Linked DNA regions of Rattus norvegicus. The protein of the gene in region 1 purifies or fractionates together with the protein of each later gene. This does not show direct contact. Links are inferred from orthologs where the notes say so. Each region holds a gene or a part of one and is shown on either strand. Other genes may lie near its edges. The genes, in order: Dnaja1 and Endog.

Evidence for each region.
Region 2: the proteins of Dnaja1 (region 1) and Endog purify together in Homo sapiens (affinity purification with mass spectrometry; 3 studies listed by BioGRID and IntAct, counting the BioPlex papers as one, with this or other methods). This does not show direct contact. The link is inferred for Rattus norvegicus from reciprocal best matches to the Homo sapiens genes DNAJA1 and ENDOG.

What each region holds. Positions count from the first base shown.
Region 1 is NC_086023.1:60,633,063-60,644,156, reverse strand, and holds the start of Dnaja1 (dnaJ homolog subfamily A member 1), read right to left. Parts: upstream 5,754-11,094; 5' UTR 5,643-5,753; intron 5,362-5,642; exon of another isoform or gene 5,284-5,361; intron 4,590-5,283; 5' UTR 4,580-4,589; coding exon 4,448-4,579; intron 4,352-4,447; coding exon 4,174-4,351; intron 1,627-4,173; coding exon 1,522-1,626; intron 1-1,521.
Region 2 is NC_086021.1:33,841,294-33,852,346, reverse strand, and holds Endog (endonuclease G, mitochondrial precursor), read right to left. Parts: upstream 5,413-11,053; 5' UTR 5,389-5,412; coding exon 4,897-5,388; intron 3,865-4,896; coding exon 3,755-3,864; intron 3,341-3,754; exon of another isoform or gene 3,119-3,340; coding exon 2,836-3,118; 3' UTR 2,816-2,835; downstream 1-2,815. Other genes in the region: Spout1 (putative methyltransferase C9orf114 homolog), read left to right, coding at 726-798, 893-991, 1,474-1,576, 1,694-1,841, 2,629-2,697. UniProt on the Homo sapiens protein: Endonuclease that preferentially catalyzes the cleavage of double-stranded 5-hydroxymethylcytosine (5hmC)-modified DNA.

The DNA.
Region 1 (11,094 bases):
GTCAGCAAAAGCAGTTGCATGTGTTGGAGAGTGGGGTGAAGGGAAGGTGTGTCTTTAGATAAAGGATGTCAGAGCACCACTCTTAGGATTTTTGGCACAGATGGGGGAGGGGAGGTGGATGATGATGATGATGATGATGATGATATAGGAAGGGAAGGGCAAGTTGTAAAGAAATGCCTCACTGATTTAAAGGATTAAGATTGGCTGCTTTTCCAGAGGGCCTGGGGTTGTTCCTCAGCACCCACATAGTGGCTCACAAACATCCTCTTTAACTCCAGTTCCAGAGGGATCTGAACTTCTGGCTTCCACAGGTACTGCATGCAGCAGTACATAGATAAACACACAGGAAAGCAAAACAAGGGACAGGTGTTATGGAGTGTCAAGCCTTTTTAGTCAGCTTCAAGAAGTGGGCGGTCTTAACAGTGAATTTCACTTTCAGAACACTTTAAGGGAGTAGTGAGATGAGCAGTAACTCCAAGACAGCCTGTACCACAATCTTACATTATGTGTTCCCACAGCACAATTTTTTTGAGACAAGGTTTTGCCGATCTCATAAGAGATCTAAAACATGCCTGGAATCAGGACCATCCTTTTTTTTTCTTTAAAAAAAAAAAAGGGTAGACAAAATGCTGTAGTATACACTGTACATTTAACACTAGGAGGCACTCAGGAACTAGAGACAGAAGCCTGGATGACCAACCAACCAACAATAACAAATGAAAAACAAAACTTAAGTATTAATTTCAAAAAGATGCTAATTTAGTGCCACTGAGACAGATCAGAGTTTGAAAAATACTTGCCACCAAGTCTAACCAACCCCAGTTTGATTTTTAATGCATGCATGGTTGAAGAAAAACTAGTTACTGCAAGTTTTCTGACATCCCACACAAACACAACATACATATAAAATGTACAAAGTGTTGTTTAAAAAAAGTGTTAGGATCTACACAGGATTAGGCCCATCAACATCTTGTCATAAAGGAAGGAGCAGATGACCAGGCCTCATCCCTGAAGAGACATTTTCTTCTACATGTAGCTAACTGATTGTGGTGCCTGTCCTTTGGGGAACAGTCCTTCCCCATTCCTGTAAACAACTCTAATAGGACTCACTGGGCCATCAAACCACAGGCACACAGAGGAATGTAAGGAAGAGGAGTTGGAGAAGAGAGCAATGATGAAAATTATATACAGGCATGAAAATGTCACAACAAAGTCATTGTGTTTCTCTTGGTAGAAGATTCAGCTGCTTTTAGTGTTGCATTTCAGTTTTAGAAGTTAGGTAGGTATGGGGTAATCCCTGTGGCTCAGAAATTTGAGGAAGAAAAGATAAAGCCAGCTTAAATCTACAAAAACTGGGGTTGGGGATTTAGCTCAGTGGTAGAGTGCTTGCCCTAGGAAGCGCAAGGCCCTGGGTTCGGTCCCCAGCTGGGGGGGGGGGGGGGAACAAACCTACAAAAACCTATTCTCAAAAACCATCAACAACCCCACTAACAACAACTCAGCACACTTAAGAACCCTTACCTTCACATTTGTCACAAATCACATTTTTTTGCAGAGCCAGTTTCCTTGTTGCACCATTATATAAGTCTTCTAAGGTCACTGAGAGCTGATGCACGACATTTTTACCTAGAATAAAAACATTGCTCATTAAATACCCATCTGTAACGTTTCATTGTTGAAGGCACTATAAAAATGGCAAAAGATAATGGAAGACCAGCCTCATGCTACATATCTTTTTGAACTATACTCACAACATTCCTCCAATCACTTGATTCTCAAGCTTACCTAATCATAGATGAGAAAACTGAGCAGTTCATCAACACAAGAGACCCTCTTAGAAATCCAGCAATTAAAATACTACCCTTAAAAGTCAATGTTCAGGCACATTTCACAATGCAAAGCATGTATCCCTTTGAAAGTTTTACTTGTTAGGCATTATTAAGCAACATGGCCAGTTACTTAATCCAAACATTCTTTAGCACAGTAAATTCTTTCTAATCAAGATTGGCCAGAGAAGCCAATAGAGACACTACTGAAATAGCAATTTCTATTTCTGTTTCAATAGTTTTTACTGCTAGGCTAACATTGGTGTCTCAAATTACCCAGGCCTTTTGTTATAATATTGTCCAACAGAACTTTCTGTAATGATGGACACATTTTATTTGTATAATACTGTAATCACTAATCATAATTACTAGATACAATTTTAAGTGTGGTGGCTACTATAGCTGGACAGAATTTCCCCCCCCTCTAAATTAACTCAACTTGAAGACCCCTATCTGGCTAGTGACAAAAGATTGCCACATATAATTAGCTACAACAGGAAGTAGGTTGGTTGAGATCACATAAGGACAACCTGGTTACAAAAATGAAATCACCCACCAACGGTTAATAAGTTCCTAGCTAGTGATCCTTCCACTAGGACTTTATCCACCGCTATCAACATTGCCTAACTACTAAATAAAGTTCCAATCCTTTCTGAATATCATACGTAAAAAAATATTTACTCTTTAAATGAGGTTATTAAAAGTCTCACTACATTGTGCTTCTAGCTTCACTTTGTATTTTTATTATCATAAAGAGAACATGTAAGCATGTAGGTTCTCAAATTGAAAGTTAGAGCTTTCTCAACTTTATACTGAATACAAGAAAGGAAAAATAAAGCTTCTGGAAAATGACCAAGTACATTTTCCAAAGCAGCAACAAGTTAACAAAACCCCTCAAACTGATCTAAGCCAAAAAGGTTTAGTCATAACTTTTCTGTAGCTCATACCATCTTATGGTTAGCAGTTGATTGGGATTATAGGTTTTTATTTTTTGTGCATACATGTTTAACCAAGAGGCCAAAAGAGGTTGTCTGGTCCCCTGGAGCTAGCTAGAGTTTCAGGCAGTAGTGAGCCAGCTATCTAATGTGGGTGCTAGGAAACAAAATCTGGATCTTCTGCAAGGAATGGCAAATGTTCTTAACCACTGAGCAATTTCTCAGGCCCATAGGTAAATTCTTATAAAAACACAGTAAACAGATTTTCAAGTCTTCTTAAACCTTTAAAAGGGCAAAGTGAAATTTAATGGGCTGCCGATTTGTTCTAACTGTGCCTACCCATTAGTTTGTATTAACTATATTGAGAACAAAGTGCCATTTTAACCTCCAATACTGTCTTCCCATAAAATACGTCTTTTGATCCAACAGTCAATGCATCTAAGCTGAGCTAATGAAGCTGAAGAGTAAACAGGCAGCAGGCTATCTGGAGGCAACGAGCTGTATCCAGTCTTTGCTTGAAAAGGTTTCGTTTTCTCCAACATATATTTTTTTTTTTTTTGGTTCTTTTTTTCGGAGCTGGGGACCGAACCCAGGGCCTTGCGCTTCCTAGGCAAGCGCTCTACCACTGAGCTAAATCCCCAACCCCTTCTCCAACATATTTTTAACAGAAAAAGGCCACTGCACTTACCACTGAGTTCTAAGAGCAGGTGATATTATCTAAGATACAAAAGGGCTTAGAAACCCTAAGTTTTTTTTTTTTTTAAAGATTTATTTATTTTGTATATGAGTACACTGTAGCTGTCTTCAGACACACCAGAAAGGGACATCAGATCCCATTACGGATGGTTGTGAGCCACCATGTGGTTGCTGGGATTTGAACTCAGGACCTCTGGAAGAGCAGTCGGTGCTCTTAACCACTGAGCCATCTCTCCAGCCCAGAAACCCTAAGTTGTTACTACAATTTGTTACCCTACTGTTTGAAAATATATGGAGTTGGTTATACCTGCTTTTTTGGCTTAGCTACTTTTTGGTTACATAAAATCTCAATTATAGGGGCTAGAGGGAAGGCTCAGTGGTTAACAGGACTGGCTGCTCTTCTAGAGGACCAGGGTTCAATTCTCAGCATCCACATGGCAGCTCACAACTGTCTATAACTCCAAGATCTGACACCCTCATCCAGACATACATGCAGGCAAAAACATCAGTGCACATAAAATAAAAATTATAAAAAACCAAACAAACCAAACAACCACAGCAACTCAATTATAAATGACACCAGAAGTCAGAGACAGTTCATGGACAGAATGTAACATCACGCTAAAGAGTAAAAAAACATTTAAATAAATTCTCAAGTCTTTCTTTCATCAGCAGTTACTTTGTTCTGCTGCAGGTAAGCTAGATTTTTTTCTTACCTCTCCTTTCTCTTTGCATCCTTCCTCCTCCTCCAAAGAACATATCAAAGATATCCATGGGCGAGCCAAAACCTCCACCTGCTCCGCCCTCCTTAATCGCCTGCTCGCCCCCTTTATCATATAGTTCCCTTTTCTTGGAATCAGCAAGAACTTCATAAGCTTGAGAAATCTGTTTAAACTGTTTCAGAAAAGGATATCCCATTAGAAACAACTGTTAGAAAGCACAGCTACCGTACAGACTTAATTCACATGGCAACACTGCTGAGCTGCTTACCTTTTCTCCTTCATTTGGATTTTTATCAGGGTGGTACTTCAAGGCCAATTTTCTATATGCCTTTTTCAATTCTTCCTGGGTGGCATTGGGTTTGACCCCCAGAACATCATAGTAAGTAGTTTCTTTCACCATTTTTTACAGCCTGAAATCAGAAAATGATAATTTTAAACTTGCTTTTACCTTTTGTACAAAACAAAACAAAACAAAAAAAAAACATCTGCTTCTGCCTCCTGAGAGATGACTGGCTCTTAACTTATAGTTTTTAACTACCAGAACTAAAGCAATCTGGTTTTTTGCCTTTATCTCATATTAATACAGCCTTCCCTAAACGTCTTAAAAGGTAAAAATTCCTGCTATGATTCAGCTGTAAATTCTAACAGACTAAATTTAAATTTCAGGGAAGGCGAAGGAAAGTCTGTCTAGCAGCTGGTTCCTGCTCTACTGCACTAACACATGAATTATTGGGTTTCTTCCGGTTTCCTTTCCCCCAGAGGTTTTGCTAGTAACCCAAAGCAGCACTGATAGGTTCCATCCACTGGTTAGTACATTACCACTGCCTTTGTACATCTGATAAAGGCCATACCCTCGCCGGAAAGGGACACTGGACACCCGGGGGTGGAGGAGTGGCTTATGAGACCAGCTCGAGAGAGCAGGTGCCCAGGCCCCTTCGCCATCCTGCTCCTGCTCGCTCGCAACTTACCCACTCTCGCCCCTCAGGCCTGCGGAGCTGACTCGCCCTCTGGGTTTCCCCGGCACCTGGCGCCGACCGTTAAGGTTTCCTTCCTTTCTCCCTCCCACCCTGATCGAAAAGGCGGAGGGGGAAGGCCGGACTCAACAAAGAAAGGGAGGAGAGCCAGGAGAAGCGCAAGCCGCAGCCTCCGCCCCGCTCCTCCCGCAGCCCCTCACCCCTGCCTCGGTCCGCGCGTGCGCAGCGCTGCCCACCCAGCCCGGGCGGCGGTGCGCACCGAAGAGTCTGAGGCGGGAGGCGAATTGGCTTCGGCCTTGGGCCGCCTCGTGGCGTGCGGGCGGGCAGGGCGCCGGGCATTCCCGGCAGCCTTCCGAAGACCGAGCCCGGCTCAGGGAACCCACAGTCCCCGCCCACGCGGGACCAACCGCCTCCGGCTGCGGCTTCCCCGGCTGTCTGGTGCCCAGGCCGCACGCCGCGACCGAGGGAGACCCAAGGACCTAGACTCACCGGTGAGCGGGCCGGCGCCGGAGAGCGGAAAGAGGAGCGTAGCACAGCGCAGCTCGGCCAGACGCTGCTCCTCTACCACCCACCGAGCGTTCTGGAAAGTTCCGCCCGGCCCGCCGCAGCCGACCTCTTTTGTAGCGGAGCCCGGGCGCGTCACTTGCCGGAAGTCCCGCCCCTCGCTTCTGCCACCGCCCCTCGGTTACCTGGGCAACGGCGCGGGGGCGGAGAGTGGCTGCGCCCAAGGGCCTTGTGGGGGTGGACTCAGGCCCGGGTTCCCGATCCTTGTAGAATCTTCTAGAGGCTTTTTCTTTATGCGAGGTACCAGAGGGCGGAAGTCTTGAGGTGGAGAGGTCATGTCCCAGAGCCGTAAGCCGGGGACGAGTGCTTCAGGCGCTGTGCAGAAGGGATCCTAACCTCACCGGAGTCTAATTTTCTGCAGCTCCTTAGCTCTGAGCCTTGCGGGCAAGAAATGCTGAGCAAGGCGGGCCTAGTCCCTAGACTAGCCTTGCAGGCTTTGGATCCGGTGGTTTCACCCAAGCGCACTCCTGTCACAGCTTTTTGGATGAGCCCAGGCTTCAGATCCTTCTGGCTCTGACTTGGGCGGACAGAACCTGGGACTGCACCAAACAGGAAACATTTAGAATGCTTCACGCACCTTTTTAGTCAGTCTGCCACCCAGTTTGGCTGCAGAGTAGCAGCAAAACACGAAATTAATTGCTTTAGTTTATTGTTTCAATTTTTTGACCGTTTTTATTTCCAGTTAGTGAATCAAAATCTATAGTTGGCAAAGTTGAATCTTAAGCTTTCAAGGGACAGTGAATGTTTTTCTTATTCAGTAACACAATAGACACATCAAAGAAGTGGAGGTGCAAGCTTAAAGAGTTCACATAGTTTAAAAAGATTTAATTCCAATCGTGTGTATCTGTGTGTATAGGTGCCCAAGGAAGCCAGAGACATAGAATCTATGAATTTGACTATTCCAGATAACTTAGTCACATTTTATTATTTAGTTTTCTTGTTTGACTTCTAAGGTTTTTTTAGTTACTGTTTGTATATGAGTGTTCTGTTTACATGTGTGTCTATGCACCCCATGCATACCTAGTTCCTGTGGTAACTGGAGGTACAGATAATTTTAAGTCACCACGTGGATGCTAGGAAGTGAACCTGGGGCCTCTGCAAGAGCAACCAGTGCTTTAAACGGATTAGTTATCTCTCTACACCCCTTAGCCTTGTTTTTGAGCCCAGACTGGCCTGGTACTCTCTTTGTAGCCAAAGCTGGCTTCAAACTCTGAACTCTTCAGCCTCTGAGCAGTTGTGAAGAGGAAGACCATGGGGCCTCCTGCTTAGACTTTTGTGGAATAAGATGTGTTAAATGTTTGTTATATTGTGTGTGTTTTAACTGTGGACCATTATTGTAGTTCTCTCCTTTACACAGGTAACTCGGGTCTTCTGTGCTTCACCAGCTGAGCAGTGCTTTAAGGAGGTCACAGGGATGTAGCCAGAGCTAAGGGAGCTGTAAAGGCTGCCTTCAAACCTGCCCAAAGACATCTTTAGCTCTTAGTCTTTTTTTTTTTTTTTTTTTTATTCTTTTATGAGGATACCGTTGCTGTCTTCGTACACACCAGAGGAGGGCATCAGATCCCATTACAGATGGTTATGAGCCACAACATGGAATTGAACTCAGGACCTTTGGAAGAGCAGTCAGTGCTCTTATCCACTGAGCCATCTCTCCAGCCCAGCTCTTAGTCTTAAAAAGCTAATGGTTTTAGAATTTCAATGTTGTACTGCTCTGCCCCACCACCATTACTGCTTTCACTAAACTCAGTCACTAACACTACGCCATAGATGGTTGATTATGTGCTCTGGTTTTGGCTGAGAGACATCTGATCTTTCTCATCTCATGTTGCCTTCTCAGATATCACATCTAGCAATAGGTTATGTCTTTAAAGCAGGGGTTCTCCACCTTCCTAATGCTGCAACCCTTTATTCTAGCTCATGTTGTGGAGACCCCCCAACCATAAAATTATTTTCATTGCTATTTCATAACTGTATGCTACTACTGCTATGAGTTGTAATATAAATGTGTGCTAAAGGTTTGCCAAAGGGATGAAGACCCACAGGTTGAGAACTGCTGCTTTAAGCCAGCGCTTTGGAGTAAATTACCTAATATGCCAGGTGTACTCTAGGCCTTGTCAATACAAAACTTTTGTAAGCCATGGCCCCTACCCTCAAGGAACTTAACTTGTAATGAGAGAAGAAAAAAAAAAAACAGAATTAAAAACAAAAAAAAACAAACAAAAAAAACCCCAAAACCAACCAACCAAACAAACAAACAAACCAACAAACAAACAAACAAAAAAAAAAATCGGGCTAGGCTGATAAAGTCCGCCTTTACTCTGAAGGCAGAGGCAGGCAGATCTCTGATACAGAGGCCAGCCCAGTCTACATAGCAAGTTCCAGGACAGACAGAGCTACAGAGTAAGACACTATCTCAAAACAAACAAACAGCCCAAAAAATGTCCAGCAACTTCATATGTGTTTTTTTTGGGGGGGGGGCACGGAAATGAGATCTCACCTGAAATTTCAGAACTAGGAAGCAGAACCAAGAGGCTGGTGAACTCAAGGTCACTCGAATTAGGTGTAACACCATCTTTGGGAGTGAGAACCTAACTCACAGAATGAGTGCTTCTTAGCCTGTTCAAGCCCCAGGTGCAACTCTTAGGACTGCAAAGAAGAAAAAAAACAGGGGCTGGGGATTTAGCTCAGTGGTAGAGCGCTTACCTAGGAAGCGCAAGGCCCTGGGTTCGGTCCCCAGCTCCCAAAAAAAAAAAAAAAAAAAAAAGAAGAAAGAAAACCGTCTTGCACGAGTTGTTTACAACATCGTTTTGTTGGGGTAAATAAATCAGCCTTGTTATTTTTGATGTGGTTTCCTGTTCCCTATTCAATGTTTCAGCAGTTTCCAGTATTTTATGGTTAAGTGTTGAAGATCTCCAAATACAGTTTTAGGTTCTCATACAAACTTTATTTTTCTTTCGTGCTTTTTCAACCTCCTATAGGCCTCACAGAGTTGAGACCGCGAACCCTCTGTGTAGTCCAAGCCAGCCTCAAAAACATGATCCTCCTTTGTAGATTAGAGTTGATTGAAGTGATTCGAAAATAAAAGGGGGGAAAGCAGGGGAGGTGGGTGGATTTCAGCTCCCCCGAAGCAGGGAGCCATTGACCCTTCAAGCTTCACAGGCATACGCTACCACACCCAATTTCTAGACCTCTATGCAGCACAGGTTGTTTTCAAACTTGCAATCCTCCTGACTCAGCCTGAAAAGAGCTGGGATTGCAGGCCTCTACCACCACACTTGCAGCAAATATTTCTTTAGGACAAACACCTAACCGCTGAGCCAATGCGACTGCAAATTGAAAGTTATATCGACTTTGTATGCTGGTTCAAGCTGCTTCCAGCAGCACGTGTGTGAATGAGCCTTCCGAGTGTAGGGGATTCTAATTTGCTTTCTTGTTGTTCTGTTAAATGTTTGCCAGCTTTACAAGTCAAAACTTAATTAAATGCGTTGGTTTTGACCTGTCATCCCAGCATTTGGGAGGCTCATGTAGGAAGCTCAGGAGTTCAAGGCCAACGGAGGCTACATAGAAAGTTTGAGGCTGCTTGGGATATTTAAGACCCTGTTTGGGAGTGTATGTGAGAAGTTAATATCTTACTGCTTTAACATTTTTTCTTTGTATGCAGTGTATGTATGCAGTGTATGTATGCAGTGCATAGACATACATACAGACAAAGTACACGTCCACCTAAAATAATAAAATTAAAAAAAAATCCCATACTTCCTGTCTTACTCTGTGGCCCAGGCTGGTCTTGAATTTAGGTTAGTCCTCCTGCCTCAGCCTCCAAATGCTAGGATTACAGGTATGAGTCACCACATTTGGCCCTTCCGTTCAGTTTCCTCTTATTGCACATGCACATGCACGTGTGTGTGTGTGTGTGTGTGTGTGTGTGTGTGTGTGTGTGTGTGTCGCTCTCTTCAGACACACCAGAAGAGCGAATCGGATCCCTTATTACAGATGGTCGTGAGCCACCATATGATTGCTGGGATTTGAACTCAGGACCTCTGGAAAGCAGTCGGTGCTCTTAATCATTGAGCCGTCTCTCCAGCCCCAAAGCTTAATTCTTAATTCATCCTGCCTTACAGAGGGATCCTCACTCAGCCTTCTAATCCAGCTTGGTAGTGTAACTGCCGGTGTGAGGATAGGGTAAGGGAGAGAATGTTTGCTGATATGTCTGTAATGTTCTTAAGAAGTACAAACTTTTCATTTAAGTTACCCCTAACCCCATCTCCTTTTCTCTTTTGCTTTTCTTTTGGGGAGGATAGAGTCTCATGTAGCCCAGGCTACTTGAATTTGGTGTGTAGTTCAGGATACCTTGAACTCCAAGTCATCCTGCGTCCATCTATTTGGAACCGCAGCTGGCACCTCTTCTGTTTTTCTGGGGAGGGCACAGGCCGGTCGCAGGAGAGAGGGCGTTCTCCAGACACTGTTCACGGGTTTCTCGGCCACTCCAGGCATGTTTTCATCATCTCAGATGAGCACTGGGTATTTGTAGGCTGTGAGCTGAGTGAAAGTATAGTGAGGCCCTGGACATGCCCAGGTTGCAGCTCTCTGACACAGGCATTCCTAAAATCATCCAGAGCTTCTGAAAACAATTCTTATTTCTTAGCAGAGAGTATGAATCATTACTATTTGGTCACTGCCCACAGCCACTTCCAGCCACTTGTGATCTGGCCACATGGTTACTGAGAGTTGTAGTGTCCTCTACTGAAACACGCCCCCCACCCTTTATTCTTCTTTCATATATGGACTGAGGTTTTCCCTCCTTCTCCTACCCCAGCCTTTCCCCTCCCCACCATGCCTCTTCCATAGATTCTCCCTCTTTCCCCTCCCTCCCTTAGGAAAGAGCAGGACGTTGACCAAAAAAACTGCATAACAAGATGCAGTCAGACCAGGCACATACCATCACACCAAGGCTGGACGAGGCAACCCAGTAGTGGGAGAAAGGGTCCCACAAGTAGTCAAGAGAGTCAGGGACAGTCCCCCACTCCCACTGTTAGGATTCCCACAAGAACACCAAGCTACTTAGCTATAACATATACGTAGAGGACCTAGGTCAGACTCCTATAGATTTCCTGATCTCTCAAGTTCCCATGAGTGCCCGTCAGTTGATTCTGTGGGCCATGTTCTCATGGTGTGTTCCTGACCCCTCTAGTTCCCCCAGTCTCTCCTCCTCTGCCTCAGTAGACCTCCCCTTCCCAAGCTCTACCTAGTGTCTGGCTGTGGGTCTCTGCCTCTGTTCCCATCTGTTGCTAGATGAAATCTCTCTGACTTCTTTGATGACGCTTCTGCTAGGCTCAGGTCCCAGCATACCCTGCAGGCAGGACACATTGTATGTAGG
Region 2 (11,053 bases), on another chromosome or scaffold:
GCAGAGGTGGCTCACAGGCTACAGAGCACGGGCTGCTCTTGCAGAGGACCCATGTTCAACACGCAGAACCCTGCTGTGGATCACAAAGCCCTGGAACTCCCTTCTGGGGAATCTGGTGCCCTCTTGTGGCCTCCATGGGCCCCAGACATGAGCATAACTCCCTGGCACACATGCAGCCAAAATACCCACACACCTAAGGAAGCGAGAAGGAACCATGCTCTGGATTTCTTGTTGGCGCTGTGCTGTTTTTCTGTTGATTTCGTTCCTGAGCTTTAATCATGCCCCATGATGGTATGTTCTCAGCTTTGCTGTTTTTGAGGTTAGGTAGATTTAAATTTTTCCACCTTTAATCTGTGTGTGAGAGAGTGTGTGGGTAAATAGGCTCATGCCAAGGAATGAATGTGAGGTCAAAGGGTAACTTGGCAGGTGTCAGTTCTCCCACTGTGTAGGAAGTGAACTCAGGTCCTCAAGCTTGGGGACGGGAGCCTTTACCCGGTGAACCATCTTGCCGGATCCAAGTGTAGCTTCGTAGACACTGTCTCTCTCCATGTTGTAAGCCCTGGGCTTGCATTGCTGACCAATGCCCTGTATAATTGTTCTGCATGAACAGCCCTTCTTAGCAGGTCCCACCCACTGCCAGAAACAGGGTGGCACATTGACCTGGGGTCTCTGAGGACATTGTCCCCTTTGTGTTGTGCCTCTCACTTGTGCTAGCTTCTCTTCAGGAAGTGAAGATTGATAAGAAACTGGACCCTGGACTTCGGGTGACCGTGCGGCTGAACCAGCAGCAGCTCCCAGGTATTGGGGGCCACCTTGACCCTGACAGCTGCCCCTTAGAGCTGCCTCCTCGCTACCGGCCTCCTTGGTTTTCACAGCCTGTCCTATTCTCCAGAATGCAAGACGTACAAAGGAACAGTCGTGTCGTCACAGGACCCCCGCACCAAAGCTGGTCTCTACTGGGGCTACACTGTCCGGCTGGCCTCCTGCCTCAGTAAGAACTGACGTCCCTCCCCAAGTGTCCATCTGTCCCACTTGTGAGACCCACAGATCAGGGTCTCTGTCCTACCAAGATGTGTGTGTAGGTGAAGCCTCCTCTAGTCTCTGGTCTCATCTCTGGTACCCCAGTCTCCCCGAACATCTCTGTGAATGCTAAGAACATCTGAGAACAGGAGGTGCTTGGCCCCTATCCTGCTGCAATCTTAGCTCTAGCGAGGCCAGCACAGAAATCTCACTGTCATTTGAGACCAGCTTAGATACCTGAGAGCAAGACCTTGCTGACTTAAGTATCATGACTGCTAAACGTCGTCTGGGGCTTGGGAGCTTCTCCCTGCCTACCCCGAATGTTCCCCAGGCAAGGTCAGCGTCCCAAGAGCAGTGGATGCCTTCTTTACCTGACCTCTCCCTCCACCTGACCCTACACTGTACTAGACACACAGCCGAGAGCAAGACCCCACTGAGTCTGCCCACCCCCAGGTGCTGTGTTTGCCGAGGCTCCCTTCCAGGATGGGTATGACCTGACCATTGGGACATCAGAACGTGGCTCCAGCGTGGCCTCTACCCAGCTGCCCAACTTCAGGTGAGTGCTGCTTAGTACAGGAACTGGGCCCTAATCCACAGCGGGTTAGGGACCTTAGGCTCTGGAGACTGCAATCAGTGGAGCCTTGGTGTCAGTGTCTCCCTCTCTGGGTACCAGGCATGCTCTTGTGGTGTTCGGAGGCCTCCAAGGGCTAGAAGCTGGAGTGGATGCTGACCCGAACCTTGAAGTGGCTGACCCCAGTGTCCTCTTCGACTTTTATGTCAACACATGCCCTAGCCAGGGCAGTCGTACCATCCGCACCGAGGTGAGCCGCAGCCACTGGCACCCAGCTCTTGTGACCCACACAGCATGCCTTTTCTAAAAGACACTTAGGGATGTTTTGTCTGCATGTACTTGTGTCCATCTGTACATCGGGAGAGGGCGTTGGATCCCAGGAGACTAGAGTTAGGAACTGTCATGTGCATTCTGAGAATTGAACTCAGGACTTGAGGAAAAGCAGCCAGTGCCCTTATCCACTGAGCCATCTCTCCAGCCCCATTTAAATAGCTTTTCTGAAGCTGGGATCTTTACCACAGCAAACTAGGGGCAGGACCTGGATACAAGAGCACAGGAGTTGCCTTCCTGGCCCTGTAGTAGTCTCACGTGCCTAGGCCAAGGGACCCAGGTGTCCTGTCTGTCCCTCTGCAGGCCCTCTGGCTTCCGTGTGCTTGCCTAGGTCCCTCCGGGTGTTCGGTTCTGTTTTTTTTTAACCCATCCCCCCTCCGAGTGTCCCCTCTGGGTGTTAGACATTTCTGTTCCTGGGGAAAGTGGAACAAGATCCCAGCATCCACAGATCCATGCAACCGTCCTTGAGGCCAGCATGGGCTGTGTCCCTATGGGGATCACAGGGAGGCTCTGTTCCTCCTTCAGCCTCAGGGGCGGTGACTCTGCAGATGAGCAGCCCCAGTCTCCCTGTCTGAAGCCCTGCCCATGTTACTAATTCCTGCCAACCAGTCGTCTTTCCCCTCCTGGCTCTGAGGTAGACCCCACGTGGGGCTCTGAAAAGGAAGGCTGCCTGCCTACCAGGTCACAACCAACTTCTTTTATTCCAGGAGGCCATACTCATCTCACTGGCCGCTCTGCAGCCTGGCCTCACCCAGGGAGGGGCGCGACCCACCTGACAGCCCTCTGGATCCAGGATGAGAGGAAGCAGCAAGACAAGGAGGATCACAGGGAGTAGAGATGGTCAAGACTTCTCTCCAAAAATAACTGCCTTTAATGCGAGCCGTCTCCCAGAGTCTTGAGTGAGTCCTACTCCATCACTTGCTACCAGCAGTGATGGCCTTGAGGTTTCCAGCTCGAGCCAGAATATTGGGCACGAAGAGCAATCCCGAGGCCCGCTCGATGCTCTCGATGGGCACTAGGAAGCGCTCCAAAGGGAGAGTCTCATCCACCGGGGCATTGGGCATCACATAGGAACGCAGCTCGATTTGCCCACTGGCTGCCTCCAGGATCAACACCTTGAAGAAGTGTGTGGGCACTGCCACGTGGTTCTTCCCAATAACCTGGTACTTCACATAGGACTTCCCATCAGCCTCGGTCCTGTGGATAGACCCAGGCACAGGTGGCCAAGAGGCCTGGTTAGATTCAAGGTCACCTCTTCCAGGAAGCCTCCTCTGACCTAACTTCCAACAAGAAGTTTGTTTGTGCCTGATTCCTCCTTTGGTCTGGGAACTATGTATGGTGGGGACCAATGCTTTTCTGCCCAATGCTGGTTCAGACAGAATGGGTGGCAATAAATGAAGATAGAGGAATGAGTTCTAATGAGTTCTCTAGACCTGGATGCTCACCCATGCTCACACGACTAGAACCTGTCCCATAGGCCGTACACCAAACAAGCATGAGTGGAGGCCATGATTGATGCTCAGTGGACACCACAGAGTTTCCTCAGCAGCTGCCGCCTCGTGCAGCCTGTGCTGGTGACACTTCCTGCGGCTGTCCAGAGGAGCAAAACTGGCTCACTTGTCTGGAAGATCAGAGGCAGCGGTGAGAGAGACCCTTGTGTAGCAACAGGTTACAGGTGGTGAGGCATGAGAAGCGGGGGGGGGGGGGGGGGGGGGGGAAGGCAGGTGTGAGGCCAGGCACCTGCGGGCACAACAGAGTTCTAGGCCACCCTAAGGTCTCCGGCTACAGTGATGCAGAAAGCATGAGGTTGGAGAACAGGAGCTGCAGCCTTACCTGGGCAGGAAAAGAGGCCCTGTGCAGACATAAACGTTTTGGTAAGTTCGAGTCAAGCTGCGGCTGTACTTCTCAAGGTTGTTCCAGGCATGCTGGTTGAGGTGTGGCACCTGGTGGGAGAAGCCAGGCTCAGGAGCACACCTCGGACCTTCTATTAGGGATGTCCCAAGTCCTAAGGTCGATTCCCAAACATTTGGAGGACAGGGCTCAAGAAAGGGGTCACTCCTTGAGGCAATATGACTACAGGTGTTAAGCCAGTGCTAGCCACACCCCATCCCTGGCACTCCAAATCTTTAAGCTTTCCCCAACTCAAAGAAAGGAAAGAGGGAACATTAGTCACTCAGAGACCCCTAAGGTCCCTTGAAACTCCCAAACCTCAGGACAAGCTCTAAAAAAGGTGTGAGTAGGGGGCTGGGGATTTAGCTCAGTGGTAGAGCGCTTGCCTAGGAAGCGCAGGGCCCTGGGTTCGGTCCCCAGCTCCGAAAAAAAAAAAAGAACCAAAAAAAAAAAAAAAAGGTGTGAGTAATTCTAGCACTCAGGAGGCAGAGGCAGGCAGATCTCTTGAGTTCCAGGGTAGCCTGGGCTACACAGAGAAACCCTGTCTCAAACCTTCGAGCAACTGGGGCTGGGGATTTAGCTCAGTGGTTAGAGCGCTTACCTAGGAAGCGCAAGGCCCTGGGTTCAGTCCCCAGCTCCGAAAAAAAAGAACCAAAAAAAAAAAAAAAAAACTTCGAGCAACAAAAAGGGGTGGAGTGTTGTGTGGGCTCCTGTTCATCTCCATCCACTGAATGGATGTCCCAGAAACCTATTTCACGATCAAGGCCCTGCTGGGAGCTGGTGTAGTGCTAACAATGTGTCCTGGTGGTGTGACTGGCACCAGCAGCCCAACTTCATGGCAGCTGTTTCCCTGGCAGCTGCTGTAGGCCAGCTCCAGGGTTCCCTGAGGAAGCACTTTGGGTCGCTTGCTATTGACATTGCTGCAGCTAATCACTGCTTAGTGCACTGCTTGCCACGGGAGGCTGAAGAGGGATGAACCCGGGACTCTCCAGTGCGACCATAGGATTCCTCCCTCCCGCCACCATGCACGTGTAAAGTAAGATCTAGGCGCTGCGTTGAGGCAGGCGACAAGGGTCCCGGACTACCTGAGGCGCTACGTTGCTCAGGTAGAAGGTGTCGTCCATGGCCCGCTGACTCCAGCGGTGATTGGCGGCGGCCGCCAAGTGGCCGCGGTCAAAGCCACTGCCGCGGTAGTCCGCATTGGTGGCGCGGTGGTACGCGTGCACAGAATCGTCCTCGTGGAAGTCGCAGGCGCGACGGTCCCCATCGCCACGGAGCCGCTCTGGCCTCAGCTGCTCCAACACCCAGAGCGCACCGCGCGTGCGCGGGTCGTAGCTCAGCACGTAGGACTCGCGGCTCCGGAGCTGCGCCACGCCGGGCAGCCCGTACTTGGCCAACTCTCCGGTGCTGCCAGCCGGTCCCCCCGGCAGCGCGGGAAGATCGGCCGCGACAACCGGCAACACTGGCACTCGGCCCAGCAGCCCCGGCCCTTTACCCTCTCGCCGCCGCCAATGCTCTGCCGCGGCGCCCAGGCCGGCGCCCAGCGCCAGGGTCAAACCGGCCCGTAGCGCGCGCATGCCTACCGGAGGACCAGCGCGCTACCTAAAGAAAAAAAAGCTACAGCAAAAATGCGAAGGAGCCTGTGCCGTGTCCCCCACGCCCTTCAGCTGCCCTTTTAAGACAGGGCAAGGGCCTGGTACCGCCCTACCCGCTTGCCATTGGTCGTTCCACGTCTGGCTCCGCCTCGCCTTGTACTGCTCACAAGTCCCTGGGAAATCTAGTTGCTTTTAAACAGGACAGAACCCCAAATCTGTCAGACCCCTCCTGTGCACCCATCCTCCTGCCACCAAATGAGCGAAGGATTCCTGTAGATTGACTAACAGTAGGACGCAGGTGAAAACTGTAGCTGCTGATAACCGCCTGGAATTGAAACTTGCTAATAAGGTTAACAAAAACAGCTATACTTCCTGGTGTCTTAACTTCTCAACCCGTTTCATGGGTTGGGCCTGGCAAGTTGGTTGTGTAGGCCAGTGATTCCTGTCCACAGGACAGGGGCTGGATAAGAATATTTCCTGCATATCAGATGAAGCAATATTTAACCTATGAATATATTAAGACTGCAACCTTATTAAGGTGAAGGAAGAACGATATGTAAAAACTGAAGAAAAGGGGTTGGGGATTTAGCTCAGTGGTAGAGCGCTTGTCTAGCAAGCGCAAGGCCCTGGGTTCGGTCCCCAGCTCCGAAAAAAAAAAAAAAAAGAAAAAGAAAAAAGGAAAAAAAACTGAAGAAAATTGGGCTGAGAGTGTACAGTCACAGCTATACCCATTAGCATGAGACAGAACCAATTATGCATTAAAAGATAATTGGGGTAGGGCGCTGGAGAAATGGTTCAGCGGTTAAGAGCATTGACTGTTCACAAAGTCCTGAGTTCACTTCCCAGCAACCAAATGGTGGCTCACAAATATCTTTAATGGAATTTGATGCCCCCTTCTGGTGTGTCTGAAGACAGCAACAGTGTACTCATATAAATAAAATAAGTCTTTTAAAAAAGATAAATAGGGACATAGGGCATCTGTACATGTTGACAAACAAAGGGTATTGGAGGGAAATCATATAAATACATTTGGTTGATTGGTTAATTTTTTTTTTAAGACAGGGTTTCTCTGTGTAACCCTGTCTGTCCTGGAACTCAGAGATCTGCCTACCTCTGCCGTCCAAGTGCTGGAATTAAAGGTGTGTGCCACCATGGACCATTGAAACAAATTAATGGAAAAAAAAGAACCAAGTTTGGGCTGAAGTCATGGTGCAGCATTCAGAGCACTTGTTGGTCTAGCAATGGTCCCAGGTTCAGTTTCCAGCACCTACATGCAGGCCACAACCATCTGTAACACCAAAAGATTTGTAGGCGAAACACCTATACAGACAACATAATTTTGTTTTCTTTTGTTTTAAAATTTTATTTACAGTGAGTACACTGTACCTGGGTGAATACATGGGCAATGGTACAAAACCTTGTGATTTGTGTGATGGCTAATTTGTCTAAATGTTAGAAGTTTTCTGTGAGATGTACAGAGGGGGGTTGGGGATTTAGCTCAGTGGTAGAGCGCTTGCCTAGCAAGCACAAGGCCCTGGGTTCAGTACCCAGCTCCGGAAAAAAAAACAAACAAACAAACAAACAAAAAGAGATGTACAGAGGGGAACGAAAACTGTGTAAAGATAAATGACTTATGTTGCCATGGTGATTTTTCCAGGTCTGAATAAACATCTGTGCAGTACTGCTTGTGTGAGCACCACCGTCTGGTTGTTTCTTGTTACTGCAGGCTGTATCTTTTCTCTAGTTTTGGTTTTTGTTGCTGGCTGGCTGTTCACAGATTCAGAGAGGTGTTGCATCAATCTCCTGTGAGCACTACTTTCTACTTTATTCTCCTTATTGTAGGCTCTATTTTTTTCTGTTTTTGGTTTTTGTTTCTGGTTGTGCCTTTCTGTGTTCATTGACTCCAAATAATGCCACATCTTTCTGTGAACAAAGCTGTGAATTTGTTTCCGTGACTGGTTTGCTGTTAGGACAGACGTGTCTGGGAGCTGTGGCTAAAGAAGGGCCAGGAGATGTCCTCAGTCTAGGTCTGGGGTATGCAAGAGCTCCAGGAAGCTGAGAGACATCCACCAATCTGGTTCTTTTTTTCTTGTGTGAGTACTCCATTTTCTGGTTGTTTCTTGTTTCTGCCTGATAGAGAGGAAAGGTTGGACTTGTGTTTTGGGTGTCATAGAGAGGTCTTTGTCATGAGTGCCACTTTCTTGTTGTTTCTCAGGGGTTTTTTTGTTTTATTTTTCTTGTTTGTTGTGGTGTTGTGTTGTGTTTGTGTTTCTCGTTACAAGGTGACTTTGATAAAGTGACTTGGACTTTGATGGCTATATTAACATGAAGCAGGTTACGTCTACCACATTCTACAGGTTCCCTTCACCAAAGAAGAGGCCAGAAAGCTGGTTCCTGGCCCCACAGGGGAGCCCACCAGTAACCAAGCAACTGTGGATGCTTACTTCCCCCTATCTCACCCAGACTGGGATTTTCACACCACCCAGTCTGAGAGCAGGTCCTTAGACTATTGTCAGGTTCTGCTGTTAGGTCTCAAGGCACCTGCAAGAAAGCCCACAAATTTGTCCAGAGTGTATGACATTAGGCATGGAGAAAAGGAAAGGCCTGCAGCTTTTGTGGAGAGGGTCATGGAGACATTTCAACAATAGTTCCCAATGGACTCTGCACCAGAGGCAAAGGCAGCAGTTACTCTAGCTTTTATTAATCATGCAGCACCAGATATTTAGAAAAAGCTCTAGAGGGTTGAGAGGTTAGGAGAAAGGAATGTGAGGAACTTAGTGGCAAAGAAGGTATTTTAAAAGAGAGAGAGAGAGAGACTGCAGAGGAGAAGCAGATGAGAGGTCAGGACCAACAGACGTGAGATCCGGCAAAGTTCCTTTTGGCAACCATGGCCAAACCAGAAGTCCATAGGAGATGCCTAAAACAGATAACTTCAGAAGAAGGAGGTAAGGGGGCCCTGAAGACCAAAAGCACCCCCTCCCCAAACCTGGAGTAACCCTAAAAGTAAAAGTAAAATCCACCGGCTTGGGGTTGGGGATTTATCTCAGTGGTACAGCGCTTGCCTAGGAAGCGCAAGGCCCTGGGTTCGGTCCCCAGCTCCAAAAAAAAGAACCAAAAAAAAAAAAAATCCACCGGCTTTTTGTTGATAATTAATAAAGTTTACATTCTGTCTTGGTAAAGCCTGAAGATAAATTCTTGGGGTTGGGGATTTAGCTCAGTGGTAGAGCGCTTGCCTAGGAAGCGCAAGGCCCTGGGTTCGGTCCCCAGCTCCGAAAAAAAGAACCAAAAAAAAAAAATTCTCTTCATCAATTTATAAATGACTTCCCAGTGGCAATAGAAATAAAAACAGAGGACCTCTTAGAGGCTCTAGAAAATTGGACTATTGAGCCTCCACTAAGAAGCCCTAACTCGGCCAACTGCATGTGACCTCCCTAAACCCAGGGATGCATACTCAGACTGGGGGCCCTGGTGTCAGCCACTGGCTAATGTGTCACCAATTGGCAGAAGGCGGCCCCGCCCTGTTTACACATCAGTGCAGCAATGACCTCCTGGTTAAAGATGATGCCAGAATAATTCATTACCAGCCTCTTCTCTTGAATGCCCCAGGATCACTTCAGCTGCCCTGCTACCTGACCTTGACTTTGATTGGCCTCTTCATAACTGCTCTGAAGAATGCAGAGGTACCATGGCTTACCAATGGCAACAGACCCATCTGGGATAGACAGAGCTATGCTGGGACAGCAGTAGTCACAAACACCGAGATCATATGGGCAGAGTTACTCCTGACAGGAATTTCAGCCCAGAAAGCTGAACTGCCAGGTCTGATTAAGGTGTTAGAGCTGAGAAAGACAAGAGACACTGATGGCCGCTGTGCCTTTGCTAGCACTCATATCTGTGGGGCTATTTACAGGGAGAGAAAACTTCTGAAGGCAGAAGAGCCCCACTCCATCCCAAAGTACAGCAAACAGCCCGGCGGGTGGCCCTGGAAATTGGACCCCTCATGTCCTTGATGCCTTAGACCCAGGAGACCCCACACTCTCTGATGAGACAGAAGTTGTGAGCTGGGCTTCCCCGGTCTCAGTGTCATAAGAGATGATGGAGGGCAGCTGACTACAAACTAGTTGTACCAGAGAAAATGGGTAAAAGCATACTGAAAAAGATCCATCGTTCTTCACATGGGACCCTGAGGATGCAGGATTTAATCCACTAGTCCCACATCAGTATTAGAGATGCCAATTTGAAAAAACGCTGACGGGGCTGGAGTGACCGCTCAGTGGTTAAGAGCACTGACTACATTCCCTGCTCCCTAACCCCGTGGGAGAGAGAACGCATCACCCAGATAGGTGGACACTCCTGAGACTGCAGGGCAGGAGAGACCGACCCGCCAGAACTTCCCACCCTTGCCCACATACTTGGCCCAAGAGGAAACTATATAGGACGTCTGGGAACAAGAAGATGGGGCACTGAACGCTGCGGTCCAGACACCGCCCGGATCTGAAGGAACCTGGTCAAACAGCTCCCTGCAACGAAATCCCATGGGAGGGAGAGCTAGACCTTCAGAGGGGCAGACACGCCTGGGAAGCCAGAGGAGACTACTCTCTGCCCACATTTCTGACTCTAGAGGAAAACACCTAGCGCCATCTGTGCCCCCTGTGCACAGGGTCCTGAGCAAAGTCGGGGCAGGCCCTTCTGGATGCTGCCCTCACAGAGAGCTGAAACCTGACTCTGAGAAGCAACTCCAGGCCTGAGACTAGAGGTAAGACGAACTTTTATGCTCCAAGTGACCTGCCTGTCAACTCAGGACACACGCCCACAGGAACACCTGAAGACCAGTAAACAGGAACGACTACACGCCTGAAAACAGAACACTGTTCCCATAACTGACTGAAAGAGAACAGGAAAACAGGTCTACAGCACTCCTGTAACACAGGCTTAGAGGATGGTCTAACCACTGTCAGAAATAGCAGAACATGGGGCTGGGGATTTAGCTCAGTGGTAGAGCGCTTACCTAGGAAGCGCAAGGCCCTGGGTTCGGTCCCCAGCTCTGAAAAAAAAGAACCAAAAAAAAAAAAAAAAAAAAAAAAAAAAAAGAAATAGCAGAACAAGGTAACACCAGAGACAACATGATGGCAAGAGGCAAGTGCAGGAACCCAAGCAACAGAAACCAAGATTACATGGCATCATCTGAGCCCAATTCTCCCGCCAAAGCAAACACTGAATATCCAAACACACCAGAAAAGCAAGATCTAGATTTTAAATCACATTTGATCATGATGATGGGGGACTTCAAGAGAGACAGAAAGAACTCCCTTAGAGAAATGTTGGTAAACACAAATAAACAAGCAGAAGCCTATAGAGAGAAAATGTAATAATCCCCGAAAGAATTCCAGGAAAACACAATCAAACAGTTGAAGGAATTAAAAATGGAAATAGAAGCAATCAAGAAAGAACACATGGAAACAACCCTGGATATAGAAAACCAAAAGAAGAGACAAGGAGCTGTAGATACAAGCATCACCAACAGAATGCAAGAGATAGAAGAGAGAATATCAGGAGCAGAAGATTCCATAGAAATCATCGACACAACTGTCAAAGATAATGCAAAACGAAAAAAGCTATTGGCCCAAAACATACAGGAAATACAGGA